Linked DNA regions of Xenopus tropicalis. The main gene of each other region encodes a partner of the protein of the gene in region 3 in a complex. Links are inferred from orthologs where the notes say so. Each region holds a gene or a part of one and is shown on either strand. Other genes may lie near its edges. The genes, in order: snrpg, ppih, snrpd3, lsm3, lsm7, cript and armc7.

Region 1 (4,082 bases), on a different chromosome or scaffold from region 3:
TGTGTTTGTGTGCTACAATAGCAGGAGGCCCTTAATATATAAAATGGCAATTTTCTATGTAGGATTACCCAATAGCACGTGCTACTAAAAGAAGTATATTTTCATGCAATTTATTTAGAAGATGCAGGGTTTTACATCTGAGCTGTTTATGCAATATATTTTTATAGAGACCTACATTGTCTGGGGTATAGATTTCCTTTGCTAAGAGGCTTGGGCCACACTGTGGCTTTCAAACATAAGTTTTACTCATTTGAACTTTTTGCCCCAGTTTCTTTTTCCCCCAGTTTCTTTTTGCCCCAGTTTCTTTTTCCCCCAGTTTCTTTTTCCCCCAGTTTCTTTTTGCCCCAGTTTCTTTTTGCCCCAGTTTCTTTTTGCCCTACCCATTTCTGATGAAGTTTGCAGCAACAGTACTTGCGGTTTAATGGTAAGGAACAGAAACCTGAACAGAAAGATAAGTCCCTGTGCTAAGCAAATGTAGCAGGAAAACTAGTATGTTATATTAAAGGACAAGTAAAACCTGGTATATAAGGCATCCCACAGCCATTAGTCCTGTACATTAAAAATGACCAATTCCTATTGGACCCCCAGGCATTTGTGCCCCTTCCATTCAAGTGCATGGGAGTGCTACCCCAGGGGGACTTTGAATGGCAGCAGAGTATAATAAAAGAAGTAATGGAAGATGGGCTGTAACGCCCTATGACATAAGACTAATTACACCAGACTATGGTACCTGCATTTTCCTAATGTTGTCCCTTTCCAAGCTCTTCACCATAGTGTCTATCGCATTTTGAAGCCGGTTCTGCTGTTCCTCTGCCATGTCTGACAAGCGTGTGCTCCAAGGGCAACGCACCTCTCTTCCGCCCTTACACATACCCTTCCGGTTACGGCTTGCCCTTACTCTAACTCTACGGCATCTACGTTGTTTTGCGGCAGACATCTAAGCTGACCGACTAGCTTCCATAGCCCCAAGTTTTTGTTAAATTCTTCTATAACCAATCAGGGAAAACGTATATATGTAATCAAATTTGCAATATTTCTTATATACTTTAATATTTGATACACAATGTTATATTTAGCCCAACTAAAGCCGGCTAACGCGTCTCCTTTGTATTCTTTGGTGGTCGTCATAGCGACCGTGGGGGTGGGCGGGGAAGCGCATACACGTAAGACGTGCTTACGTCACATTAAGGCGACTGCGTTACTTGGCGGCAGCGACCGGGGCTTTGTACACGAGGAACGAAAATGAGCAAAGCGCACCCGCCCGAGCTGAAGAAGTAAGGAACGGCCCGGGGGGGGGCAGTGAGGGGCAGAGCGGAGGGGGCAAGTGAGGGGCAGAGCGGAGGGGGCAAGTGAGGGGCAGAGCGGAGGGGGCAAGTGAGGGGCAGAGCGGAGGGGGCAGTGAGGGGCAGAGCGGAGGGCAAGTGAGGGGCAGAGCGGAGGGGCGGCTTAGGCTGTAGCCGGGGAACATACACCCAAACCTGCAGCCTCCATTGCGCTGTTTCATGTTGAATGGCCCGTTTTGGAGCATGGAGGCTGCAACCACATCATTCACACAGAAAGAAATGGGGATCTTTTCGATTCCCACATATCTTCCAATTATATTTTGTGGTCAAACTGATTGATTGCCCATATATTGCAATATACTCCAAGCTGGCCAACTACATCAGTCGCAGTCATAGGATTCATTAAGGATTCTAGTATTTCATAATGTGCACATGGATCTCTGGGAAGAGTGAAGTAGCTCTTATGCCTGATACTAACCCTATAAGGGAACTGCATTGGCTTCTCTTGGGTCCCTAGTCTAGTGATCTGAGCACAGGTGATTAGGTCTTGTTGAGTTATTATTATAATATAATGTATTTAAATGTTGTGTACTTTTTACTTTTAGGTTCATGGACAAGAAACTGTCTTGTAAGTATTGAAAAATTTTCCATCTACTTGTAAAAAGAAAAAAAAATAAAGGAAAACTATACCCCCCAAACAATGTAGGTCTCTATAAAAATGTTTCATAAACAAGCTCATATGTAAAACTAAATTAATCTAAATAAACCATTTTCTTAAAAATATTATTTTTTTAGTAGTATGTGCTATCGGGTGGTACTAAATAGGAAATTGCCATTTTATGAATTAAGGGCCACCCCCTGGGATCATAGGATTCACAGTGCACACAAACAAGCCAAGACACACATACATGTTAGGCCCCATCAGCCAATGAATGGGCAGAGTTCTGCCTTTTGCTCCCACACTACTCCCTGTTACAGTCAGAGCTGCATTATTTCCTGTCAGCTGATCTCTGAGGGAGCACACAGCCCATCACTAAATGGTGGCTCAAGGGAAAGGATGTAAAAGGGCAATATTTACTAATATATATTCCAGTTTGACAATATTCTTTAATAGGCCACTTAACAAAATATAAACTATCTGTTGGTTAAGTATTCGTTCTGGGGGTATAGTTTTCTTTTAAAAAATAAAAATATATATGATGAGGTCTGTGCTCGGACCTTATTCAGGTGCTTGGCCAAATAACAGTGTTATTTAGAATAAGAAGCAGCAGAGAGATGGTGCAATGAAGGATTTATTCAGGATACAGGACTGCTGTTCCTCACTCTATATAAATATATGCAGTTATAAGGGAACTGTACCAGGTGACTCCCCAAACCAGTAAACCACCAAAACCTTGAAGCATCTGATCAAATTTCCTTTCTTTTCTTTCTTTCAGTGAAGTTAAATGGTGGGAGACATGTCCAGGGGATTCTGCGTGGCTTTGATCCCTTCATGAACCTTGTAATAGATGAGTGCACAGAGATATCAGGGGGTGGCCACCAAAACACCATTGGAATGGTGGTAAGTGTTAGACTGAGCTGCAACATATATTGTATGGTCCCTTACTGTGTGTGTAATTTAGGGTGGCCGTTCATGGTCAGATTTTCCAATTTTTAAACTAACATTTGAGGACAACGCAACGCAAAATATAATTTTTTGCCTAATAAAAGAAAACAGAATTCTCAGCTTTGCAATATACATTTATTACAAATTTGTAATGGTTTTTGAGTTATTTGTATATATAATTGCTATTAGAAGCAGTGTTTGTCTGTCCTTTTCTATTCTCTGCCCTGGTGGCTCTGGCATTTGAAACAATGTAACACAAGGCAGCCAACTGACAGACCTGACTTGGGGAAGGAGACTGACTTTTGCAACATTGTTTAAAAAGTAACCACCAGGAGTTCGGCAAATGCTGCTTTCAATAGCAATTACATTTACAAATGGCATTTAATCATACAATGTTATCCACAGAGAAGTAGCACGTTAAAGATGTCGTCATTTTGTTGCCAAAAGGTAAAGTAATATTGTGCATCTACAATGCTATATCAGCTTGTGGCGGAAGCAGTATAAACAGGAAGTGATGTATTTTTCATCAATTTTTATCGATATTGGTATGCTATTTGCTATTACAACAAGTGAACGAATGAGTTCTGCTTGTTTGTAATGTGGCTGGTTGCCTTGGCTTGCTGGTATTGCAGCAAGGTATTCTTTTGCCTGTATTTATATTTACCAACAGCATGCACATGACTTTTCATAGTGTTTATGTGGTTAAAATGTAGGGTTGGCAACAAACATTTGGGTCTTGTCATATGCGTTCGTTGACTTCTGCAGGTACTGCCAATATATGCACAGAAAGCGACTGTTCAACGACAACTTTCACACCAACTCTTATCGTTGCCCAACTGATATTTTTAAGAATGTTGGGCCAATTAGTAAATTCTTACATCTAGAATTGTTTGTACACTACCAGCTATACAGTTTGTCCTGAAATCAGTCGTGAGACTACAAAATCTGAGCATGTATGGCTGCATTTAGTGGAATATGGTCAGATTATTAGCAGCTAATATTGCAAAGTGTATTGGCTTCTGTGAAGTTCAGATTAAATAATGACTAATCGGCTGAGCAGCTTTAGTACTTTAAAGATGGCCAGTTTAAAGAGAGGGATCTAGCCCATGTTTTCTGGGTAGGATGAGTTCATTGTTTTATTATATGCACAGTGCATGGCTACATACATCAGTGCTATGTACCACATGCATTTA
Region 2 (4,201 bases), on a different chromosome or scaffold from region 3:
CATCACTCCCTGGTTGCTAAGGTAATTTGAACCCTAGCAACTGTTTAGCAAAATCATGCATTAAGGGCTGAACCATCAGATAGGGGTAGAATTGCTATTGTTTCTACCTCTATATCCGATGATTCAGCCCTGAACGTCAATGGAGGGTATAAATAAACTCAGAACTAATTTGCAAATGCAATCTGCAGTAAATATTCTACTACCCTTAAAGCAGATGTCAGTATTACAGCACAGGTGCTAAAAATATCTGCGGTGCACTATTTAATATTTTAAAACAGTTATTGTCTTTCCTGTCAGGAAAGCTGCCATATTGCTTATTACGTTTAATTTCAATGTACTATTTTGAGTATTAGTTGATCTACAGAAAAAGTATTGTTGCTATTATATTCATAATCCCCCACCAAGCAGCCAATGGACAGTTTAGCTTCTTGCAGAATTTGCTACACAATGAATGAAAACAGAGAAGCACTGAAGCCAGTTTCTTAGAACTTAACTATGAGGATTTGTGGAAACAATTGTGCTTCAACATTTATTCCAGTCTACTCCCATTACTTAGATCAAACCCCCGATCGGGGCAAAAGAAGTACAGATACAAACCTAAATTCGCCAGTACAGAATTGCCTGAAATGAGAAATAAAGAATTATTTACAATTAGCAGATACTTTACCTAACGTAATCTGTTTGCACAACAATGCATTCCTGCATAGCACATAATGCATTAGTCTACAACAACTTCTTTTTGATATCAGAAATAGCCCCTTAGACTGATGCCACATGGGTTGATTCTGGCATCAGCTTTAAGCATCAGAAATGGGAAATTCATGAATTTACTTTATCCTCCATTTACTTTTACTTCTAAACACTAAAACTAAATCTCCTTCAGTGCAGGTGACAAATGCCCAAAGTTTCCTTACAACCAGCATTGATGTAAATTGCTGGTGAGAATATTAATGCCTGTGGGAAGGGACCTTTGGATGGTTTGAAAAAAAGAAACAAGGGGTGTAAAGTAGTGCTGTCAAATTCTTTTAGATGCAGAGGGCTGTATATTAAAGAACTTAGTTGTGATGAGAGAAACAAAACAGAAAGGAACTCTATGTGGATAATATATTATTAGTATAATTGTAAAGCTTTAAGCTATTTAAAAACTGTTTGCTAGATATAATACAGGTATAGGAACCATTATTTAGAAGTCCATTATCCAGAAAAATCAGAATTACAGGGAAAGCCATCTTCTATAAACTCCATTATAATCAAGTAAATCAAATGATATAAAGTGATTTCCCTTTTCTCTGTAATAATAAAACAGCACCTTGCACTTGATTCTAACTAAGATATAATTAATCCCTATTGAAGGCAAAACAATCCTATCAGTACTGTCTATTTTGTAGGCTCGACAGATAGCTGGCACATGGGGAGATGAGTCGCCCGCGGCAAAACTCCCTGTTCGCGGGCGACTAATCTCCCCGAGTTGCCTTCCCCTGCCATCCCATCGGCGACAATGTAAGCCGGCGGTGGGATGGCAGACGCGGCGAGGCGATTTCGGCAAATCGCCGAAAAAGACTCGCAAGTCTTTTTCAGCGATTTGCGCGAAATCGCGCCGCCGCATCTGCCATCCCGCCGGCGACTTACATGTTCGCCGGTGGGATGGCAGGGGAAGGCAACTCGGGGAGATTAGTCGCCCGCGAACAGGGAGTTTTGCCGCGGGCGACTAATCTCCCCGTGTGCCAGAGCCCTTAGTCTTACTGATCTAGTGAGACTAAAATAATGACAGCAAACATCTGATTGGTTGCTTTGGGTTATGGGCAGTTGCAAACTTTGTCAGTGTTGCTATATAACTACTCCAGAGTTTTGACAGCAAAAGTCATGCAACTTCACCTGAAGTTCTCTGCAGTTTTTGGTACAATATCTGCAAAAAGTTCCACCTTCATCCGGCCCACCTCCTGAAAAAGTAAATGGACATTAAATTAGTTTTTTTTGTGAAAAGACAATTAGCACATTGGTATTACAGTCATCATACCCTTCATGTTTTCCCAGAATATATGCCTTTCTTCACAGTTACACACAAGCAAACTAATTTGAAGTTGAATAGCATAAAATATAGCAATTACAAAACTTTAAAAGCTTACAAAATTAGGCCACCCAATGTTTTTAATATTCTGTATAACTTTAATTTAAATAAATGCAGAATAAATAGGTATAGCAACAGTTTGCTTGAAAGAACAACTTTTTCAAAGACACGGAATGGACAAATTAGCCCTCATGTTGACACATTTTCCAAAATGTCTAGTTTCCATGTTGACTTTTTTCCATACATTCTAAGGATAATATTCAGAGCTTTCCAAGATGATCTTTTTTCCCCTAATTGGTTTGATCAGCCGTCTGGTGGCTTTACAAGTTTTGTTTTGGGCTCTCTTTTGGGGTTCACGCCCAGTCTTCCTTGGGGGCAGGGTTCATGAATTGGGATGCCATGAGAATTTTAGAGTTCATATTTAGGGATTTTCTCAGGGCTTAGAGTGCATGTTTAGGACCATCAGTAAAGTTTTAGGGTTTAGAGATCGGAAAGAACAGTGGGGCCCATACACGTGGAATACAATTTAAATACATAATAATTTCTGCTATGAATATAAAAATCTGTCCTTCAGTCACAGTACACACTTAGCCTTCTTGCTAATACTACACTACACCATGCAGCCCCATTTGCTCAGCTGCAGTTTGTAGGTGGTGTTGCATGGCGAGATTCTTCTCAGTACGTAAGTATGGAATCATCATTTAATGCAGGGCTTTCTCAATGTATTATACTTAACACCGCGTGTTACCTGCCCCCCGATACTGATATCGAAGAATACGATGGGATTGTTAGCGTTGGAAGCCGGTACCGCCATTTCTATCTGGGGCAAAACCGGAAGAGAAGAGGCGGCGCTTCAATCCCAGAAGCGGCTTGCTTGTAGGCTGTATGCGCAGGCGCAGTGCATTGTTTTACACGCTTTATTCGCATGAAGTTGGTGGGCGATGCGATATGCCTGCGCTTCTAACCTTGCAGGGGATTATGGGAGAGTGGCAATAGCAGTACGTTTACGCGTGACTAAACCTGATTTACTCATTGACATATAAGCAGTACAGAGGTTTAGTTTTGGATGGAGTGGAGTTGTAGCATTCACATGTTCCGTGCAATTAAATTTATTTCTGTTGAAGCTATCCATATCTGTAAATATCCATGCTGTCTGCCTTGCTCTCACATCAAGCAGTGCTAATACAAGCGCCTCAGCGCTCCACACCGGAAACGTCTTTTTTTTTAGTTCCTATTTCAATGTGGCCTGATCACAGCCGTGATGCTGTGTGGGCGAGAGTGCGTTTATAACAGAGCTCTGCTTCTGTGTGGGTGTATGTGTGTATTTATGCAGTAGGTAGAATTATGGTTACCTGTGGCTGCTGCACATAGGGAACACACCAAATCCCCTCTGTATTCTGTGAGGAGAAGGGAGGTTTTATTGTTTGTATATCACTTCCCATAAAATCTCCCTCTCCACTGGCAGCTTTGTTGCTGTTTGGCCTTCAAAACTATTCCATAAATTCAAAGTACAGGGAAATCAGGTTTCCCAAGAAACTGATATGGGTATGAAACCTGGGCCCTAACAAATAAATTGACTGGGGAATAAAGTATATCTAAAACCTAAAAAGTTAATATAAATTTGTCAGTGTCCTCTTCTAGTCACATTTGCATTTTACATCAATTATTTTTTAAAGCTTTTAATCTGCTTATAAACAGCGCCGCCTACTGGTCAGCTCTTACAACCATACAGCTGAGTGAGTATACATTGAGAAGGAAAACAGATAACTGTTCTGATGTTAAGGTCCCCATACACAAGGCGATTTCACTCGTTGTGCGACGAACTATTATATCGACAAACGATCGTATGGCGACCGGGTTTCCATACGATATGCCATCCACAGGCAACGATAATTTGCAATTTTTACAATCGTACATCTACGTACGATCCAATGTCGTGGCGGAAGCGGTATTTATTTATTTATGTTCGTTGACTTCCGCTGCTGGCAATCATGACATGCGCAGAGAACAATCGTTCGAAGACAAATGTCTGACACTCACACCAACTGGCAGATTTTATCATTAAACGACTAAAATTTTTAAACCTGGCCGATCGATTTTGGGGACAATAATGTCGGGTCGATTAGTGGGCCG
Region 3 (4,147 bases):
GATGATCATGGAATTTTACAGACATCACCCTGTTAACCCTGCCCCTACACAAATAAAACTTACCTTGGGCCTTGAGAATAGCTGCTTTTCCTCTGCCGGCACCAGAACCCTGGTTTTTATTCTTCATACTCTTTAACATGGGAGCATTTTTCAACATGTCTGGGAGGATGAGAAAACGAATTTTGCTGCCTCTGATGTAGACCTGTTCTAGTTGTGCCACTCTGCCATCCCTGTACGTTACAGTGATGTTTGACATCTGAAAGTCAAAGTACAATTTAAGCATCCATGGAGGGAAGAAAAAAGGACACAGGCTTAACATACAGCACTATGTGAGGAATTCTATTACAATGTTTTATATTTATAAAGCTTTAACGGGATCGTGTTTGACTTCACACTCATGTCTCCCCCTTGTTTAGCTCAAAGAATAGCCAAAACCATGTTCTTTTCCTGGGAGACAGCACCAAGAACATTCATACACAGTAGAAGAATGTTTAGAAGACCAGTCTTTGCAGTTTTAAATTTCCTTTAATGTATATCCAAGTTGCGTAGAATTAAATTTTTTCATTACAAAAACAGTTTTTGGCTGGAGGACCCTTTTAATTAAAATAGCCAAAAACAACCTATTTATTGTACAAGGTAATATACAGCTGCGTTAAAATGCTTTAGAAACACTGCTATAGTCTATACCAGTAATGCCCAACCAGTGGCTCCCAGTGGACTTTAAGCAGGTGCTTATTTTTTGTAATTTCTGGTAAGGAGGCAAGTTTCTGTTGCATAAAAACCAGCTGTATTGCCAGCACAATCCTGTAGGCTTCCAGTCCCCATAAGGGCTACCAAATAGCCAATAACAGCCCTTATTTGGCAACCCAAAAGAATTTTTTATGCTTCATTTGCTCCCAAACTCTTTTTACATTTAAATGTGGCTCACAGGTACAAAAGGTTGGGAAACCCTGGTCTATAGAAATAAAGCTGCATGGGGGCAGCTATTCAAACAAAGAGGGCTGAATGGCACAGGTGACAAAAAGATAAGCTCTGTAAAATACAATACAGCTTATGTAACCAGCACCTTTAGGGCTCTGGCACACGGGGGAGATTAGTCGCCCGCGATTAACTCCCTGTTCGCGGGCGACTAATCTCCCCGAGTTGCCTACCCCTGCCATCCCACCGGCGAACATGTAAGTCGCCGGCGGGATGGCAGACGTGGCGGCGCGATTTCGCGCAAATCGCCGAAAAAGACTCGCAAGTCTTTTTCGGTGATTTCCGGAAATCGCCCCGCCGCGTCTGCCATCCCGCCGGCGACTTACATGTTCGCCGGTGGGATGGCAGGGGTAGGCAACTCGGGGAGATTAGTCGCCCGCGAACAGGGAGTTAATCGCGGGCGACTAATCTCCCCCGTGTGCCAGAGCCCTTACTCAGTTTATCCCAGCTTGGATGGCTGCCCCCACTGATACACAGCAGCTTATTTATATGAACTATAGTAGTATCAGTGGGGGCAGCCATCCAAGCTGCTGTGTGTTACTGAAGCAAACACCAGTTCTACCAGTGCAGGGTAACACTACATCGTATTTTGATTACTTTGAAACACTTACATAGTTTAAAAGAATAGGAACACCAAAATATGTTACCGTTTGGCTTCTGTGGGTAGATAAAGGAGACTTTTCTCCATGTTAAAAGAGAAGTTTATACATGAACAACAGAAGAGTGCTTAGTAAAAAGAGCAAAAGGAAATTGTCACCCTAAATATTTTTTAAATTACACAACAGGAATGCAATACGGGTGTAGCCACACCCCACTAACTAGGCTCCTGTAACTAACAGTTTAAAAGTGCATAGCAACAACAGCATTTACATATTTTACTTCTGCTCCTTATCACTGAGCTTTACTGTGAATATACTGACATCTAGAGACACAGCTAGGAAATTGAAATAGATTAGGATTAAAGGAGACATTGTATAAAAATTAAGAATGTACCAGTAAATTATACTCCTCTAGATATAGAAGGACTGTGGTTTAAAAAAAATTGTTTTTTGGACTGTTTTATTGAGAAATTCCACCAAAACCCTAATAGTCCCGCCCATCTGTTCCACTTCCTGCTGGCTGGATAGGAACCAATCAGCAGCTAGGATGACCTGATAGGGAACTGAAGCCTGTCTCTGCTTGTGTGAGTGCTGGGCTGTGATTGCCTTCCCCCCTCCTACTGTGCTTCTGGCAGGGACCGTTAGGACACGCCCACCCTTCATTTTAAACAGGGACAGAGAACTGATAGGATCTACAGGGAGCTCCAATAAAGAGGCCATATTTACAGATGAGTATTTTTTAGCCCAAATGAAACCCGCAGCATATATTGTTCATAATTGTCTACAAAATTAGGTTTTTTTTTCCCCTATTTTTCCATGTCTCCTTTAAGCTATTTACGCTTCTGACCACAATATAACTGCTTCTTTTGCAATGGATAGGGTAACCGAGGCACTATATAGGGAATAAATAGGTGCCTTTTGGAAAATACTTTGCCCCTAACAATTCACACACACATTTTTAGTTTAACACAGCCTTTACAATTGTTGGTCCATAAGGTCTATCACTAGAGTTTATACTGCAATCACCAACGTACTTACAAACATGGCATAAGGTAAATATTTATAAGTTTAGGTGCACTTGCTATAGATATAATACGAATGACTTGCTTATTTTACTTACTTGGCAGTTCATGTTATCCTCTGCTTCAATCAATTTCCCCCTGTATACCTCTCCGGTGTTAGTTTCACATGTCACAATGTGGCCTTCTGCCTCATGAAGGACTTTAATTGGTACACCGATAGACATATTGAGAGCTAATGGAGATTAACCTGCAATTGGAGAAATAAAAATTAGCAAAAAAACGTGGAGAACATACAAAGCGCAACGCAGGTTACTGCATACAATGCAGCCATGTGCAAACTATAAGGTATATTCAAATAAAAATCCTTATTACATAATGTTTATCCAGCCTAAAGCTTTAATCACTTACAGTCTATAAATTCAGCCATACATATGCACACAAACATGCCCAGCCCTTCAGAAACACATGCACGTTAGGACATCGCAGCAGCACAACCCGCAGAAGCAGAGGAGTAACCCTCAATGAATGAGTTCCCTGGGATACTGGCACTGAGGCCTACACAAACGTTTCAGTGCCCCCGGCCTAAGGCAGGAATATTTATAGAAACGGATAACGGACTGGTAACACAGTGAGATGCGTTGGGCCCGGCACCCTGTATATAACCTCACCATAAGGCAATATTTAGAGGGAAGCCCTGCTCACACTCATACAAAGCTGCCAACCGCACAGACCTAAGGGAAAGCGAACAAGCGCCGAGTAACCGAGACGCACACCCCGCCCAGATATCCGCACGCTGCAACCCCCGGGCCTCTCTGACAATCCTGCAAAGCGCAGACTTTTTACCGAACTTTTGTTTGCTTTGGGTAATACTTACTAGCGTGGCTCTGTTCTGCGTTCTAATGGCGTCCCGCCTGCCCCACAATGCACAGCGAAAGGAAACAGGCTGTCGTATCTCTCTGCCCCCTTTTCCCGGCGACTGCACAAGCAAACAACTTCCGGTGGGAAACAGATATGAGTGACTTAGTTCCGCTCATCAACCCATTTATCTATTCACACCATTTAAGAGCGGCTAGTTGCACTGCAACTTTTCATATTATATATTATGAATTATTATTAAATATCTTGAGCTGAAACCTCCAATTAGACTCAGACGTGCAATCTGTGGATTGTGATAAATGCCAGAAGGGCTGCTGTAAGATGTCACAGACACTATTTATTGGGGTGATAGGGGGCTATTTGGGTATCCGCGTATAATTAAATGCCAAGGCCCCATTTCCAGTCCGCACCTGATCAGACTGTTTCTTTTAGTCTGCGCTTTTAATAGGTGCTGATTCTGACTTTATTAACTGAATTGGCAGACCGCTGGCATATGTATGGGCCCAGAATGATCAGGCTTATTTTGTTTATATATCTGCTGAATGCATTGTTTCTGAACTGCCAGAAAGCACATGCAACATTAAGTAAAATGGACAAAATGGCATCTGTGCACAAAAATGTACCCCTGCTCACTGCTGTAAAATGTAGATTCACCCCCCATTCTACCATGAA
Region 4 (4,133 bases), on a different chromosome or scaffold from region 3:
CACCAGAGCCCAAAGCATTGGTAGTTAATCATTTAGCACAGAAATAAAAGCCCATGCACAATTCAAGGGCTAACTCTGCCTATCTTTTAATATTGTCCAGATGGCATAATACTAACACAATCTGCAACTGGTCTTTATTTTTTATTTCATCTGGTCTCTGAATTATGTTGTCAAGGTTTGTATTTAATTTATCTGGTTTCTAGGGGTTACCTTAGCAATCATAGAAGAATCTTAAAACCAGTATAGTGAATAGTACAGGGCTGATGCCCATAGGGTTCAATCTGCACTCACTACAGTATTATTCCCAGCCTATTTAGAAACTCTGCACAGTGTCCCCATACAGTACCTATAAGAATTAAGTCTATTTAAGTCTGTGAATTAAGTCTGTGTTTAGATTTCATTTTACGTGTTACTGTATATCATTCACAAGATGAATGAAAATCTCTATAGACATGCAGACCCCATAGAAACTCACCACCATGCAGGGAGTCTATTGCCGGGCGGTTTCTCTGCTTGTTCCCCGCTACCGCAGCACCCTCAGACCCCCTCCGCTTTGCCATCTCCCCACAATTCTACCTCACATGTCCCCTCTGGTTGTATAACCCACACAACAGGAAACAATCTGTCTCAGACAATAACATTAACGCGTCACTTCCGGAACATACACATGTGCACCCCGCTGCCAGGCCTCCGCCACTTACTGCCCATACTCTCACATTATTGGCTGAGCTTCACATTCCGGCCTCCGACACTTACTGCCCATACTCTCACATTATTGGCTGAGCTTCACATTCCGGCCTCCGTCACTTACTGCCCATACTCTTACGCTATTGGCCGAGCTTCACATCCAGGCCTCCGCCTCTTACTGCCCATACTCTCACACTATTGGCTGAGCTACACATTCCGGCCTCCGTCACTTACTGCCCATACTCTCACGCTATTGGCCAAGCGTCACATCCAGGCCTCCGCCACTTACTGCCCATACTCTTACGCTATTGGCCGAGCTTCACATCCAGGCCTCCGCCTCTTACTGCCCATACTCTCACACTATTGGCTGAGCTACACATTCCGGCCTCCGTCACTTACTGCCCATACTCTCACGCTATTGGCCAAGCGTCACATCCAGGCCTCCGCCACTTACTGCCCATACTCTCACGCTATTGGCCGAGCTTCACATTCTTCCTGTGGCACATAAATATCGCGATAGGAGAATTGTCAGGGTTCTCGGCTATTTCCTTTGCGCGGGGTTTTGAAGATGGCGGACGACGGAGAGCAGGTAGGGATGTGGGTTTATAAGACTGGAAAACAGGTTCTGTTCGGTTCTCGGCGCAGTGCGGCATAAGGGGTGCTCCTGGCCCGGTCTCGCTTGGGAACGCGTATAGGGTTTTTTTATGTTGCGGGGAATTAAGTGAATGTTTATTCAAACTGGACTGTTTTCTCTTTTATTTCAAAGCCTTTTTTTTTTTTTAATCGTGAAGCACCGGTGGAGTGTGTTTATATTCATAACTAGCGATGTAAATCTGATTAAAAACCCAGTTGTTGTGGTCAGGAGTAAAATGAAATGTATGTTCTGTGTGGCTGATGGCGTCAATATATTCAAACAATAGAAGCACAAGGCTTGTTTTAGTTTCTATACCTCAGATTTCTGAGTTTATCTCCCAATTGACTCTTGACTCCTGTTTTTTAGGGACACATCCTATAAAATTTAAGAATATACTAGTGAATTATACTCCTAGATATAGGATTGTGCTTAAAAAAAAAAAAAGTTGTTTCGGACTGATTTGAGAATCCCCCCAAACCCCACTAGCCCCGCCCATCTGTTCCACTTCCTGCTGGCTGAATTCTCTGGATGTGCAGGGGAGCCGGGGCACTCTAAGATAGGAACCAATCAGCAGCTAGGCTGACCTGATAGGGAACTGAAGCCTGTCTGTGCTTTTGTGAGTGCAGGGCTGTGATTGGCTCTCCCCCTCCTACTGTTCTTCTAGCAGGGACCGTTAGGACACGCCCACCCCTCATTTGAAACACAGACAGGGACCTGAGAGGATCTATAGGGAGCTCCAATAAAGGGGCCATTGTTACAGATAGGGTTAATGTTTAGCCCAAAATGAAACCAGCACCGGATATTATTCATAATTGCCTACAAAATGAGGGGTTTTCCCATTTATCCAACATGTCTCCTAATTTACTAATGTGTCAATCCATGTTGATTGGAAGAACACAACATACATTTCATCACTGCCAAAGCTCAGCAGTTTGAAAGCTGTATGGAGGTGGTGCATGTTTTTGGGAGCAAACTAAATAACTACTGGCTAGGCAGCTGGTTCACTACCCTATTGGCTGCCCAAGCGGGTCTAAATCTATAACCTAAGTCTGTCATTTTGGCTTTTTATTAAAGACACCACAAGCATTCCTTAAATCTAAAGTTCAAACAAGACAAAAAATGAAAACTGTAAGGTTTTAATAGCTCAGGTTACAAAACAAAAACTGTAGTACCGTGTTAGCCAGTGTCAAAAATAATAATAAAAAAACAACAAGACACAAATACAAGAGTATTGTACTTCACACTAGTGAAACTACACTCTGGGCTTTATTTATAATTAAAATACAAATAGTACAGTTACATTAAAGGTATAGTGCTAAGTGTCCTAGACAAGAGGAAGGAGGTCCCTGCCCCACAGACCTTACAATCCCATGCAGGGGAGAAAAGAAATGCTATTTGGTAACTGTAGATCAAATCTGACTGCTCAAAACAATAAAGGTGCCCATACACAAGCAGATTTTGTCATGTGAAACAACCAGTTTTAAGGTGGCCATACATGGGCTGATTCTAGCTGCCGATATCAGTCCCTTAGACCAATTCGGCAGCTTATTGGCCGTGTATGGGCATTAACGACAGGCCTGCCCAACTGACATCGGGCAGATCTCGATCAGGCAGGTTTAAAAATCAGTCTGATCGGGGACTGCATTGGCTCGTTAATGCAGTCCCCAAACAGACAGACGCCTATGGCCGTCGTCCTAATTCGGACATTTGACCCTGGGGCCAAACGACCGAATTAGCCTGATATTGCCCACCCATAGATGGGGATATTGGGAGAAGATCCGCTTGCTTGGTGACTTCGCAAAGCGAGTGGATCTTAGCGTGTAAGGCCACCTTTACAGTGAACCAATAAAATTTGCTTTATTATTAACTTATTGTTACATTCAGGGGGAAACGATTGTAAAATATACGATCATTTCAACTGCATTGTCCCAACATTTGATCAGATGGGCTTGACCGTTTTTGTCATTAAATCAGTCAGTGGATGAGAGGAACAGATCACAATCATTAGATTAACATTCCCTGCACAAGTCTTTATTTTGATGGGCTAGGTTAAGTGCAAAAGTAAACAATGGAACAGACGGGCATTGGCTAATATATGTTCTTGGAGCCAGCACAACAAAGATATGACAAGTCTTCTCATATATTGACAAATGATCAAGCAAGCTTGAGTTTAGTTGCCTGAGGACCTGCTGCCCTTCACACTTCCCCCCCCCCCCCCCCCCAAAGGTCCTGTGGATGCTGAGTTACTAAACTCATGCAAATACTCTGTACCCCTGCAAGCACTGACACTTGATTGTGTGGCTTAAAAGACTGCTATTGCTAAATATTTGCAACTTATTCACTGGAATATAGAATCAGAAGTGCCATTACTCGTTTAAAGGAAATGTAAACCTTCGAAAGACATGGGGGGGAAAAAAGTCAACTGCAAAAGTGCTCTGAATAGAGTGCTGGGCAGTTTTGAGACTGTTTTCTTGGGTTTACATTTCCTTGAAAGTACTTTTTATAATATCATAATTATAAGGAGGCTAATATATCACGGCACCATCTGCAAAAGAAAGGGGACCAGAATTTGTGGTAAAAGCAGATGATTATTACTTTGCAGCTAAGGGGTTAAACAATATACAGGCAACTCTTATGTATCCAGCAAAAACAGTTTTAAGATAGAGGCAGAAACACAGGACTAGGTTTAAACTGAAAACTATAAATTGAATCATACTAAAAAGAAACTACCGCTCAAACACACAGAATAACTTATTAAGCAGACATGTGGCCCAGTGTTATAGGATCCAAAAATTGTAACTGTCTCAGGGAC
Region 5 (4,181 bases), about 60 Mb from region 3:
TACAGTCCATTTGCAGCCTTTACTACAAGTGATCCCATTAAGCGGCTAAACACACTAGTAGCAGCTACTTGTCACGGCCACCAAAATAAAACAATGCTGATCATTTACTGAGAACTGTCTCTATGTGTGTTTTAGCAGAGGCAGTTCTCAGTATTGTCTATGGCAGGGTATTTTCTGGTGTTTAGTAGCTGTGACAAGTAGATGCAACTAAGTAGCTTTGTGTGTTTGCACCCTTTATGATTGCTTGAGCTGAAAGGCTTGAGCAATCATAAAAAATGCCCCTACAATTATTAAAAGAGGTGGAATAAATTTGTTGACCTACACAATATATGCGAGTGGTTTGAGCCCCATATATTGAACCCCTGCTCACGTACTGAAGATTTTTCATAAAAGGGGTTAAAAAGGTTATAACATACAGGGCTAGCAAAAAAACATTGCAATAAACAAAAGCACTCTAAAACAAATGGCACAGTGACTGTTGCAAAAAATGAATTGCCAGGTAAGCGGTGCAAAACTATCCGCTGGAGATTCACCACTTTGTAGAACTTCATCTGAAGTCTTCATGGTTGCTCACATAAAAAATAATAGAAATACACACAGAAAAGGTTCCAATGAAATAATCAGTATATTTGAAATATATGGAATACGCTGGCTCTGCTAAAATAGCATCTCTCTGCCTTTAAAAAAAAAAAAAAAAAAAATGTTCTATATAAAATAAACAAAACAAATTCAGTACTCCACAATCTTCAACTTGAAGTTATTCTTTCTAACAAAGAAATATGGGAGAAGAAATTTAATATTGTTCATTAACCCTCTTGTTGTTGAACAAAAGGGTTTGGGATTGCCTCCATGCCATCCTGTGGACAAATCAGCACTACAGATGTTCCTCTGCAGACTACCAGCCCCAGCTGCCGTGTGTCCTCTGTTAATTTATACTGGTCATCTGGATCTAAAGAGAAAAAGACATGTTTTAATAGAACAAGTGACAATTCACAAAAGTTCTAAAAACTTCAACTTAAACCATTTCTAAAACATACAAGGTACAGCAAATTAACAAGCCGAAAATGTAAAATAAACGTTATATACTTTAACCATAATGGCTTTCTGAACAGGTACAGAGGGTGGCTGTTAATGGTACATTCTCTACTTGGAGTAAGGTTCTTAGTGTGGTCCCACAGGGTTCTGTGTTGGGTCCACTATTATTTAACTTGTTCATTAATGACTTAGGAGAAGGTATTATAAGTGATGTATCAGTGTTTGCAGATGACACAAAATTCTGCAGCCCAATTAATTCTATCCAGGATCCTTGCAGCAGGATTGTGACAAACTGGGGGGCTCAGTGGCAGAGAGATTCAATGTTGATAAATTCAAAGTCCTGCACCTGGGATGCAAAAATATGCATTAATTGAATTGCACTACACAAATCCATAATGGAAAAGGACCTTTAAGTCCTTGTAGGTAATAACTTGGCTGTGGCAAGCAAGGGCAAACAAGGTTTTGAGCTGTATTAAAAGGGACATAGAATTGTGAGAGGAAGGGGTTATTCTTCTGCTTTACAAAGCGCTGGTAAGGCCCTAATAGAAGTTTTGGTCTCCATTGCTCAAATGGGACATTATTATGTTAGAGAGGACCCAGAGAAGGGCAACGTAGCTGGTAAAGGATATGGATAGACGTAGTTATGAAGACTAGCCAGGTTGGGATGGTTTACCCTGGAAAATAGGCACTTCAGGGGTCATATAATCTCTCGAACGTTTTATTCACCAGTAGGTTCTTCCAACTAACACAAGGGCACCCATTCCAATTAGAAAAAAGTAGGTTCCGTCTAGATACTCTGAAAGGGTTTTTTTTGTTCTTTAACCGAGAGCTGTGAAGTTGTGTAATTCACTCCCTGAATTAGTCGCACTGACTGAGAGATAGCTTCAAGAAGGGGTTGGTTGGCATTTTAGCAAGTAAGGGAATACAATGGTCTGATTGCCTTCTTGGAACCAGGAAGGATTTTTTCCCCCTCCGCAGCAAATGAAAAGCTTCAAAAGGTTTATTTTGCTTTCCTCTGGATCAACTAGCAGTTAGGCAGGTTACATATAGGCATATAAAGTTAAACTTGATGGACTGGTGTCTTTTTAACCTAATTTACTATATTAAATACTACAGGTATTGGATCTATTATACCTTAAGTCTGCCAAAAAAAATTGAAACACAAAATAAACAAAATAGGATTGTTTTGCCACTTGAAGCCTTTAATTATTCGACAAGAAATCCCTTACCTGTTCCAATTATAAAGACTGAATTATGCAGTAACAGAACACCCACAATCCATAGATGGAAGGAGTGGTGGGGTAAAATTTAAAAAAATAATTGGAAAGGTCAAGTTTAGGCTATGATTTAAATGGAAAACCATACCCACAAAATAAATACTTAAACAGTTTATATCAGTTAGGGCATATTCTAGTTTAGCAAGATTCTTTAATAGGTCACTTTTACCTTGAGCCACAATTTTGTGATGGGCTGTGGGCTCCCATAGAGATTACATGAACAGAAATAATGCAGCTCTATCTGAAACATGAAGAAGTCACAGTTCTGTCCATTGATTGGCTAATGTAACCTAGTATGCACGTGTGCTTTGGTATGTGTGCAACATGAATCCTATGATCCCAAGAGGCGGCCCTTCATTTTTAAAATGGCAGGTTTCATGCAACATATTTTAGAGAGACCTACGGTGTTTTGCAGAATAGATTTCCTTTAATATGCATATTTTGACATATTGTTTCATGTCAGCACATTTTAAATTAAAAGACTAAACTAGAAAGGGAAGTTTGAGAACAAACTTCATGTTGGGTTGAAAAACATGAAGTCACTGAATGGGCTCTGCCCACTTTCTCTAACCTTGGATCACAGTTATACAATAAAAACCACTGTGCAAAGTTTGGGGACCCTGGCTTAATAGTGTCTGAATGGCAGCAACTTAAATTTCCCCACTGAAAGTCAACGAGTGACATCTGATTGGCGGTTGGTGGCTCCACCCCCTTTTTCTAACCTGGAACTGCAGCTACCCAGTGACTAACTCTGCAAAGTTTAGTTTAGGATTAATAGTTAAAGAACGGCAGCAGTTAAAGTTTAAACCAATAAAAGTCAATAGGTGAATTGTGATTGGTGGTTGGTGACCCCGCCCCCTTTTTCTAACCTTGAGTCGAAGTCACTCAGTGACAAAGAGTGGGCACTGTGGCATAAATAGTGTGAGAATGACAGCATTTTAAATTTAAACCAATAAAACTCAAAGGATGAAATCTGATTGGCCGTTAGTGGCCCAACCCACTTTTCCTATTTTTAAACTGCAGTCCCCCAGTGACCAACTTTGCAAATTTTGGGGACTCTGGCATAAAAATTGTGAGACTGACAGCATTTTACACTTCACAGTTGAAAGTAAATAGGTGAAATGTTATTGGCTGTTGGTGGCTCCGCCCACTTTTTTTCTGAACAGCAAGGTTGAATTTCCACCAAGTCAATAGGTAAAATCTGATTGGCTGTTCACAGCTCCGCCCACTTTTGGGCATTCAGCAATCATTGGGGTGTTCGGAGGGGCGCCACAAAAAGACGGGGGGCGGGAACGCATAAAAAAAGCACAAGCAACCTGCTCTGCTATAGGGCGAAGAAGTGTGGAGAGTTTGGTTGTTGTACCCCTAAAACTGTAAGAGGAGTAGCGTTTAGAAAATGGGGGGCGCTAAAAAGAAGAAGAAGTGGAAGAATAAGCCAAAGTCGAAGAACAGTATGTTGGGGTTTTCAACCCAACACAATTATTCCATGTGCCGCCTCCAGTCAAATAGCAAAACAATGCATACAAATTTGAAGTGCATCCTATGTATATGAAAGCTTTATGAATTTTTAGTACTTACCTCTCATATATTCTATTGTGCCATCCAGTACAAGATTCAGCAGTGGATCAAATCCTTTCAGTACTCCGCTTGCTTTAATCAGGTGAAGAATAAAAACAAGGGGAAAAAAGTATTTAAAAAGAGAAGCCCAAATAGTTCTGCACCCCAAGCTTATGTAAATGTTTTCAGCTTTGCCTATATCCGTTAAAATGGAAGATGATTCTCAGGAAAATGTCATTTTAGCTGGTGTATTACAGGGCGAGATTTAACATCTTGTATGGTTGAAACCTACTAAAGACTTTACAGATATTG
Region 6 (4,172 bases), on a different chromosome or scaffold from region 3:
ATCTCCCCTAACTGGCCTTCAGGCTGGGCTGTGTATGTAGCCACAGAATGGGCAATCTCCCCTAACTGGCCTGCAGGCTGGGCTGCCCTGTGTATGTAGCCACAGAATGGGCAATCTCCCCTAACTGGCCTTCAGGCTGGGCTGTGTATGTAGCCACAGAATGGGCAATCTCCCCTAACTGGCCTTCAGGCTGGGCTGTGTATGTAGCCACAGAATGGGCAATCTCCCCTAACTGGCCTTCAGGCTGGGCTGTGTATGTAGCCACAGAATGGGCAATCTCCCCTGACTGGCCTTCAGGCTGGGCTGCCCTGTGTATGTAGCCACAGAATGGGCAATCTCCCCTAACTGGCCTTCAGGCTGGGCTGTGTATGTAGCCACAGAATGGGCAATCTCCCCTAACTGGCCTTCAGGCTGGGCTGTGTATGTAGCCACAGAATGGGCAATCTCCCCTAACTGGCCTTCAGGCTGGGCTGTGTATGTAGCCACAGAATGGGCAATCTCCCCTAACTGGCCTTCAGGCTGGGCTGCCCTGTGTATGTAGCCACAGAATGGGCAATCTCCCCTAACTGGCCTTCAGGCTGGGCTGTGTATGTAGCCACAGAATGGGCAATCTCCCCTAACTGGCCTTCAGGCTGGCCTGTGTATGTAGCCACAGAATGGGCAATCTCCCCTAACTGGCCTTCAGGCTGCCCTGTGTATGTAGCCACAGAATGGGCAATCTCCCCTAACTGGCCTTCAGGCTGCCCTGTGTATGTAGCCACAGAATGGGCAATCTCCCCTAACTGGCCTTCAGGCTGGGCTGTGTATGTAGCCACAGAATGGGCAATCTCCCCTAACTGGCCCTTCAGGCTGGGCTGTGTATGTAATGGGCAATCTCCCCTAACTGGCCTTCAGGCTGAACACCCCATGTTGCTAATTGTCTTTACTACAACTCCCATCACTCCCCCTAGGAGCTTATGCAAACACACCAATGGAAGGAAGCAGCTGTAGCTCAACAGCACCAAAACTCCCACAGACTGAGCTATATATATATATATATATATATATAAGGGTAGAAGGGAAGTCCCGCTGTGTCTCCCAATACTCACCTGTGCGCTCATTGACCCTGCACCACTTCTGGTTCTGGTTCCTCCTCCCTCACCTGAAAAGGAGCAGAAGCTGTGTTTGATAGACAGTCACATAAGCCAATCAGGCGGCGGCTTCCGCCAACTGACGTTGACGTTCCGGAGCGGTTTCCATTGGTGGTGACGAGATCCGGAAGTGACGTTCCTAAGGAACTTTGTTGACAAGAGCCGTGTGATTGTTGGTGTGACCGGAGTGGGACATGGTGTGCGATAAGTGTAAGTAACAAACCGGGTTTAATCTCGCTGGGTGTATTTCCTGGTACCGGGCAGCTCCCATAGAGCCGTGTTATGTGGGTAACGCTTACACCTGCCATTGGATACATTTGCCGAGCAGCTGTAAACCATGGCGTCCTGTTTATATTATCCTTCACATTCGTCTGCGCAACTGGCTGAGCAAAGCCAATGGCTGGTTGGTTGCTAGGGGTGCCTACTGTTAGTAATAAATAAAGCAGACATAGCTGTAGCTCTGGTTTATCCGCTGTTCGCAATACGTAGTAATATACTTACTGTGCTGCCGGCTATTACTATTCTCCCTGACTGTATTGCTCATTGTCACTATATATTCTGATTATCTCATTGACGTTTTTGGATACCTGTATGGGAGAATGTAATTACTGTTGTTTTTAAAGGGATAATGTCATGACTTATGTGGTATACTTTTTATTTCTAAATTACACTGTTTACATAGCAAATAATTCACTCTGCCATTTAAAATGTTATTCTTGAACCAACAAATGTATTTGTAGCTGTAATATTGGTGTGTAGGCGCCATCTCAGTGCCTTGTGCCTGAGTCTGAGCTTTCAGCCAGCGCTACACATTAGAACTGCTTTCAGCTAACCTATTGTTTCTCCTACTCCCATGTAACTGGAGGAGTCCCAAGCCGGACTTGGATTTCTTACTATTGAGTGCTATTCTGATACCTACTGGGAGCTGCTATCTTGCTCCCTTCCCATTGTTCTGCTGATCGGCTGCTGGGAGGGGGCGGGGGATATCACTCCAACTTGCAGCGCAGCAGTAAATTGTGATTGAAGTTTATCAGAGCACAGGTTACATGGCTGTGGCACCCTGGGAAATGAAGAATATGGCTAGCCCCATGTGAAATTTCAAAATTAAATATAAAAAAAATCTGTTTGTATATTTGAAAAACAGATTACAATGCAGGATTCTGCTGCAGAAGCTCTATTAACTGATGGGTTTTGAAAAAAACGTGTTTTCCCATGACAGTATTCCTTTAAGGACGTAGATAGGGATATGTGTGTGCAGGAGCAGCATTAACTAATGACGTGTATTTAATGACAGGTGAGAAGAAACTGGGCACAGTTATCACTCCAGACACATGGAAATCCGGTGCCAGGAATACCACTGGTAAGTTGTGGTGCCATTTAATCGGATTTGCATTATTGTGTATCAATCCACTAGCACTTCTTGCTCTTCCCAGTCTTTCAGAGGCAGAACTTTGATCCTATTATAAAGGCCAGATATTGTTTATATAAAGGCAGACTTTAATATTTATTTTTTTTGTAAAATATATGGTGACATTTAAGGGCTGAACCTGTTGTGCTGTGTTATTAAAGGCTTCAAAGTGTGCCTCTGCCACCTATGCAGCTTCCCTTAATAAGTACACAAGCAAAACATTTGTACACTAAAGGCTTATATGAATAAACTCATTGGTTAAAGGAGAAGGAAAGGTAAAAACTAAGTAAACTTTATCAGAAAGGTCTATGTAAATACAGTCATAAGCACTCACAGAAACGCTGCACTGAGTCCTCTGTCAAAAGAAACACAGGATTTCTTGTCTACTTTTTTGTAAACATGTTCTTAGGGTATCTGACTTTCTCTCTCAGAAAAATCCTTCATTCCTGTGACCAGAGTCAGTGCAGCTCTCTCCTCTCTCCTGCTCCCCCCTCCCATAAGAATTCATAAGACTCACTCCCCCCTCCCTTAGGAATGTGTAATCTGAGCTATAACGCTAGACTGCAAACAGGAAGCTATGGAGACCAAGCTAAAATGGCAGCTGCAATCTTAAAAAGAGAAAGCTTCTAGGGCTCTTTACTCAAGTATGGCAATGCTTTCTGCAGAATAAATATAGTGTTCTAGGTGGCACTAATGTGGCAAACCTATTGGCAGTTAAATGCCAAAATGACTTCTTCTCCTTTAATGCCTCCATGAAGTGCCACCAGTTATTATCTTTAGCCATTTTTTAACAATCTCTTTACCTGAAATGTTATCGCTGCATGTATCTAGCTAATATTAGCAGAGTAATGCAATTAAAAGCATTAACTGATATTTTTATTGCCTATTGTAAATTGATGATAAGCTATTTTTTTCTAAATAAATATGGTATAAAATACACTTTTTTGCTTGAAAAACAGTCGGTTTAGTTTATTCAGTGACTGGCTTACCCAAAGGAGGCTGTTTGAAGCCATGGCCACTTCCAGAGTCTTCCCTCCCTCCTCCAGAACTGCACCACCAGGGACCCCTAAAACTGCTCTGTTTGGTCTACCTGGTTAAGGCTTATTTTCAACTGGGGTGGCGGACTTTCATTTTTTGATGAATTGTTCCATTCACACGTAAGCCTTCTTTAGTGAATATGCCACTGTTTGTTTATTTTAATAGGCAGTATTTTTTTGTCTTGTTTTGGCACAACAGTCCCTGTCAGAATTAATGTTTGCTCAAGTAAAAGAAAAAATCCAAAATATTTCATTTGTTTGCCTATGGCCCCTAAGTCCTGGAGCTGGTAACCTCTCTATAGTATTATGTACAATGTTTCAAATGGGGGACTTGATGGGAGGCTTATATTTCTAATTTATTTAATTAAACAAACACATTTGGCTTCTGTGGGAAAGGATTATTACAGTATTCTTCTGGTTATTGATTTTTCTCTCTCTTTACACAGAAAGTGGAGGCAGAAAACTAAATGAGAACAAGGCACTGACATCAAAGACTGCAAGGTGAGTACTAATCACACAGTGTCTCCTTTTCAACTTGAGTTCAGTGTATAGGGTTTGCTGTGAACATACTTTTTGCCTATTGTAACTCACTTTCAA
Region 7 (4,236 bases), on a different chromosome or scaffold from region 3:
AAAACTCTCCCCATGATCCACCCAAGTGTCACCCCCTACCATAAGGTTCCCCCACCCCTTTCATGGACCCTGAATAACCCATGAAGCTTTGCTGGGGAGAGCTAAGAAACACAACTGTACAATCTCGCCAACCATTGGCCACTCACGAAGAGTGGATAGCAGTGTAGATAGCAGCACCGAGTGCTTTTCCTCTTTAATGATTTTAATACAGTAGAAATAAATACACGAGGGACCATGGGGTCAGTCCATAACTGAATCACGGAACAGTATCTTGCAGGGGACTGCAGTCCGGCAAGGCTTGCACTTGTCTCCCAAACTTGTTTCATGATCATGAAAGTGACCAGCACTTCAAACACAGAGTTTGTCACACTCCGAGAACAGCCATGCTGCATCTGTTTCTAGTAGGGTGCAAATGTCCGACACGGGAGTCAGATGGGGTGCTGCGTGGATTCAGGGAGCGGGATTCCCAATGCCGAATGTTGGCTCAGTTCTTTGGCTTCTTGCACTTGCTTATCGCTGCAGTAATCCTGCAGGAAGATGGTGGCCAAATTGCTGATCCTGCGGTTGGTGGAAAGGGAGAAGCGCACCATGCACTCCACCACAGCAGGAGCCGTCACTTCAGTGCGGGAGGCGGCCGTGCACAGGAACATGAGTGTGGTCAGCGCCGAAAGCACCGTCTCTTCCCGACGGCTGGACAGGCAATTGATGACCAATTTCAGCCCCCCGGAGTCTAGTATGTGACTCTTGTTAGTCTTGTCCAGGCAGAGATTACAGAGACCCCCTATTGGAAAAGAGAGAATGGTTAAAGGCAAACTAACAATTTCAAAGACATTATGACCTACAGGGGGTTTGATCACAATTGAAATTGAGGACATGTTTTTTAGGGGGGGGGGGGATCCCATAGGAAAGATGGAAAAAAACATATTGCCCAAACCTACAATATCCTTCCGTCCTGCTGGAAGTGGTTAATACAAGATAACTGGGCTTTCACTGCACCCAATGTTTATATTCGCAACACAGGATGTTTATCTGGGTATAAAAGGATCGCACAGAAGTTTGTAGTGAAAACGATAAATATACCAGAGCCGTGTTTGTCAGAGACCAATGACAGGCGAGGGGTTGGGGGGGGTGGTACACGGTGGCCATAGATGGGCTGATAAAACCTACTGATTCTGCCACCCCCCCCTCCAGTGCCAGGTTGCATATTGGGCTTTTCCCAGGGACAGACTGGGACAATGAGAAAAATCCCAGTGGGCCCCACCAACCCAGGCCTGATCCCTGCCAGCAACATCGGCCCTCCACCCTCAGTGAGGGGCCCCCAGTCTGACACTGGCTTTTTTTCAATGGTCCGTCCCACTGTCATCAAGCAGAAAATTTAAGCATCTACCCACTGCCCACCTATAGCCACTTTCACTATACTGTCCATCAACTGGAGATTGGGGCGGAGTCATTATATCAGGGGTGGGCAAACTACGGCCTGCAAGCCATGTCTGGCCCATTGGCCTTTTTAATCCGGTCCGCTGACTCCTGATTGGTCGCTGTAGGTCGCTGGGGGGGGGGGGAGGATGTTTAGGAGGATGCTGAGAAGGATGCTGGGGGGGAGCTGGTGGGAGGATGCTGGAGGGGGGCTGGTGGGAGGATGCTTGGGGGGAGCTGGTGGGAGGATGCTGGGTAGGGACGCTGGGGGGAGCTGGAGGATGCTGGTGGGAGGATGTTGAGGAAGATGCTGGTGGGAGTTGAAGAATGCTGGGGGGGAGCTGGTGGGAGGATGTTGAGGAGGATGCTGGGAAGGACACTGGGGGGAGCTGGAGGATGCTGGTGGGAGGATGTTGAGGAAGATGCTGGGGGGAGTTGAAGGATGCTGAGGGGAGCTGAAGGATGCTGGGGGGGAGCTGGTGGGAGGATGTTGAGCAGGATGCTGGGAAGGACGCTGGGGGAGCTGGAGGATGCTGGGAAGGATGCTGGAGGGGAGCTGGTGGGAGGATGCTGAGGAGGATGCTGGGATAGGATGCTGGGGGGAGCTGGAGGATGCTGGTGGGAAGATGCTGGGGGGAGCTGAGAGGCCTGTGATTTCGGGCCAGCGTTACACTCAGGGCCTCCATCAAGTCAATGTGTCCCCTGAGCTTGGAGGATGCTGGCAAGGACGCTGGGGGGAGCTGGAGGATGCTGGTGGGAGGATGTTGAGGAAGATGCTGGGGGGAGTTGAAGGATGCTGGGGGGGAGCTGGTGGGAGGATGCTGGGATAGGATGCTGGGGGGAGCTGGTGGGAGGATGCTGAGGAGGATGCTGGGGGGAGCTGGAGGATGCTGGTGGGAGGATGCTGGGGGGAGGATGCTGGTGGGAGCTGAGATTATATTGCATTATATTGTGACCCTCCTGCCACACATGGGGGCACATTGTGGGCTCAGCACTTCAGTACATTCTCTCACCCAGGCCAAACTCCACCAGGTTCTCATTGCCCTCAGTCAGCATATCCAGGAACAGGTCCAGCACCTGTAGCTTCCGCAGGTCGGAAAAGTTCCGGGGATCGTAGGCGAAGTTGGCCAGATTGGCCAGGACCTGCTCTTTGGCTTCTGAGCAATTAAGGGGAGAAACTAATGAGAAGAGGAAATGATGCGGAGAGTTGGTACAAAACTACAACCGTAACGAAACTGAATGGGGTTAAATCTCCCCCTCTCTCTCCCTTACCGACACTGTCCGTGTCCTGGAACTCAGTGACCAACGTCTGCAGGTACTGAAACCGCTCCGACTCCCCGTCACCCATCCCCGCTCTCTATCAGCCCGCAGTACCTGCGCTTCCGGGTGGGCGGAAGTGATGTCACCGTACTGGCAGAAGCCTCAAGTCGGGTGCCAGTTCTCGTCCTACTTCCGGGCGGGAAGCGTGAGGGAGGCGCAAAGCGCTGAGGCGGAACTGTAGCGTTAGGGGCAGAATTACCCGGGTAAGTGTGAGGGTGGGAACAATAGAAATAAACAAAATGTCATGCTATGAGTATACTTTTGTATTGAGATTTATATATTTATGATGTATTTTTCTCTTCAGACCCTCTCCTACTCACTCTTCAGGTTGGCAACTTGGTAGCAGGAAATTGGAAAGTGTAGAAGTGCTAAAGTGGCAAAAACCTCAGAGGATAAAAAAATGAAGACTGTGGTACTTATCTGCTGCTCACACAATTCTTACAACTATGGCCCACGGGCCGTATTGGCGCAATACCGTCTGACCCCGCCCCTCCAGACACTCGTTTCAATAGAAAACACGTGACACCCAGGCAACAAAGGCCCAGGCCCGGGGCGGAACAGATTAAGGGCTCTGGCACACGGGGAGATTAGTCACCCGCGACAAAACTCCCTGTTCGTGGGCAACTAATCTCCCCGAGTTGCCTTCCCCTGCCATCCCACTGGCGAAAATGTAAGTGGCCGGTGGGATGGCACACGCGGCAGCGCGATTTAGCGCAAATCGCTGAAAAAGCCTCGCAAGGCAACTTCGGCGATTTGCGTGAAATCGCGCCGCCGCGTGTGCCATCCCACCCGCGACTTACATGTTCGCCGGTGGGATGGCAGGGGAAGGCAACTCGGGGAGATTAGTTGCCCACGAACAGGGAGTTTTGCCGCGGGCGACTAATCTCCCCGTGTGCCAGAGCCCTTAGGGTGGCATGCTGCCCAAGCCGCACTGAAAATTGAACGTTAAATGGAAACACCAAGCTGCAGGGCCAGACTGGGGGTAAAAAGCAGCCCAAATATAAATATGCAATGGCCTTCTACTCTTTATATCGCCACACATGTATATAGGGGTAAAATGGCTATAAATCATGTGCATAAGGAATTGGGATGTTAACACGTCTCTAGTTTGGTATTTCTGCAACTATCTGGTTGCTAGGGTCATATTTAAACTAGCAACCACGTGAGATATGGTACTGAATAACAATAGCCTCTCAGAGCAATAGTTTTTTGGCTGGCTGACTGCCTGAAAGCATAGAGAGGCAGAAAAAGGCAGCAAATAATTTAAAAATAAGTAAAAAAAAAGACCAGTGGCACAGATGCTAAATATAGGGTATTTTATAACTCACTTTTATCCCCCTGGGATTCACAGTGCACACAAACAGAGTCGGACTGGCCCACCAGGATACCAGGAAAACTCCCGGTGGGCCCAGGGGTCAGTGGGCCCTCCTGCTCCTCACCATTTGGCCTATTCATGGTCATTCCCTATTTCTGAATGGGAACAAAGAGAAGAAATAGATG

What was found.
Region 1: snrpd3 (region 3) and snrpg share a complex: the UniProt entries of both Homo sapiens proteins name them as parts of the U7 snRNP complex. The link is inferred for Xenopus tropicalis from reciprocal best matches to the Homo sapiens genes SNRPD3 and SNRPG.
Region 2: snrpd3 (region 3) and ppih share a complex: the UniProt entries of both Homo sapiens proteins name them as parts of the U4/U6-U5 tri-snRNP complex. The link is inferred for Xenopus tropicalis from reciprocal best matches to the Homo sapiens genes SNRPD3 and PPIH.
Region 4: snrpd3 (region 3) and lsm3 share a complex: the UniProt entries of both Homo sapiens proteins name them as parts of the U4/U6-U5 tri-snRNP complex. The link is inferred for Xenopus tropicalis from reciprocal best matches to the Homo sapiens genes SNRPD3 and LSM3.
Region 5: snrpd3 (region 3) and lsm7 share a complex: the UniProt entries of both Homo sapiens proteins name them as parts of the U4/U6-U5 tri-snRNP complex. The link is inferred for Xenopus tropicalis from reciprocal best matches to the Homo sapiens genes SNRPD3 and LSM7.
Region 6: snrpd3 (region 3) and cript share a complex: the UniProt entries of both Homo sapiens proteins name them as parts of the minor spliceosome. The link is inferred for Xenopus tropicalis from reciprocal best matches to the Homo sapiens genes SNRPD3 and CRIPT.
Region 7: snrpd3 (region 3) and armc7 share a complex: the UniProt entries of both Homo sapiens proteins name them as parts of the minor spliceosome. The link is inferred for Xenopus tropicalis from reciprocal best matches to the Homo sapiens genes SNRPD3 and ARMC7.

The regions. Positions count from the first base shown.
Region 1 is NC_030679.2:122,085,828-122,089,909, reverse strand, and holds the start of snrpg (small nuclear ribonucleoprotein G), read left to right. Parts: upstream 1-1,215; 5' UTR 1,216-1,242; coding exon 1,243-1,274; intron 1,275-1,888; coding exon 1,889-1,911; intron 1,912-2,719; coding exon 2,720-2,844; intron 2,845-4,082. Other genes in the region: protein FAM136A, read right to left, coding at 731-817. UniProt on the Homo sapiens protein: Plays a role in pre-mRNA splicing as a core component of the spliceosomal U1, U2, U4 and U5 small nuclear ribonucleoproteins (snRNPs), the building blocks of the spliceosome.
Region 2 is NC_030683.2:94,758,787-94,762,987, forward strand, and holds the start of ppih (peptidyl-prolyl cis-trans isomerase H), read right to left. Parts: upstream 2,886-4,201; 5' UTR 2,883-2,885; coding exon 2,817-2,882; intron 1,941-2,816; coding exon 1,876-1,940; intron 622-1,875; coding exon 598-621; intron 1-597. UniProt on the Homo sapiens protein: PPIase that catalyzes the cis-trans isomerization of proline imidic peptide bonds in oligopeptides and may therefore assist protein folding. Participates in pre-mRNA splicing.
Region 3 is NC_030677.2:152,605,353-152,609,499, reverse strand, and holds the start of snrpd3 (small nuclear ribonucleoprotein Sm D3), read right to left. Parts: upstream 2,847-4,147; 5' UTR 2,824-2,846; coding exon 2,698-2,823; intron 257-2,697; coding exon 64-256; intron 1-63. UniProt on the Homo sapiens protein: Plays a role in pre-mRNA splicing as a core component of the spliceosomal U1, U2, U4 and U5 small nuclear ribonucleoproteins (snRNPs), the building blocks of the spliceosome.
Region 4 is NC_030680.2:132,918,269-132,922,401, reverse strand, and holds the start of lsm3 (U6 snRNA-associated Sm-like protein LSm3), read left to right. Parts: upstream 1-1,242; 5' UTR 1,243-1,255; coding exon 1,256-1,276; intron 1,277-4,133. Other genes in the region: xpc (DNA repair protein complementing XP-C cells), read right to left, coding at 476-560. UniProt on the Homo sapiens protein: Plays a role in pre-mRNA splicing as component of the U4/U6-U5 tri-snRNP complex that is involved in spliceosome assembly, and as component of the precatalytic spliceosome (spliceosome B complex).
Region 5 is NC_030677.2:92,738,123-92,742,303, forward strand, and holds the end of lsm7 (U6 snRNA-associated Sm-like protein LSm7), read right to left. Parts: intron 3,963-4,181; coding exon 3,891-3,962; intron 950-3,890; coding exon 807-949; 3' UTR 607-806; downstream 1-606. UniProt on the Homo sapiens protein: Plays a role in pre-mRNA splicing as component of the U4/U6-U5 tri-snRNP complex that is involved in spliceosome assembly, and as component of the precatalytic spliceosome (spliceosome B complex).
Region 6 is NC_030681.2:19,972,116-19,976,287, forward strand, and holds the start of cript (cysteine-rich PDZ-binding protein), read left to right. Parts: upstream 1-1,322; 5' UTR 1,323-1,324; coding exon 1,325-1,340; intron 1,341-2,424; coding exon 2,425-2,490; intron 2,491-4,021; coding exon 4,022-4,076; intron 4,077-4,172. UniProt on the Homo sapiens protein: As a component of the minor spliceosome, involved in the splicing of U12-type introns in pre-mRNAs. Involved in the cytoskeletal anchoring of DLG4 in excitatory synapses.
Region 7 is NC_030686.2:44,366,161-44,370,396, reverse strand, and holds the start of armc7 (armadillo repeat-containing protein 7), read right to left. Parts: upstream 2,837-4,236; 5' UTR 2,765-2,836; coding exon 2,689-2,764; intron 2,685-2,688; exon of another isoform or gene 2,595-2,684; coding exon 2,430-2,594; intron 782-2,429; coding exon 429-781; 3' UTR 1-428. UniProt on the Homo sapiens protein: As a component of the minor spliceosome, involved in the splicing of U12-type introns in pre-mRNAs.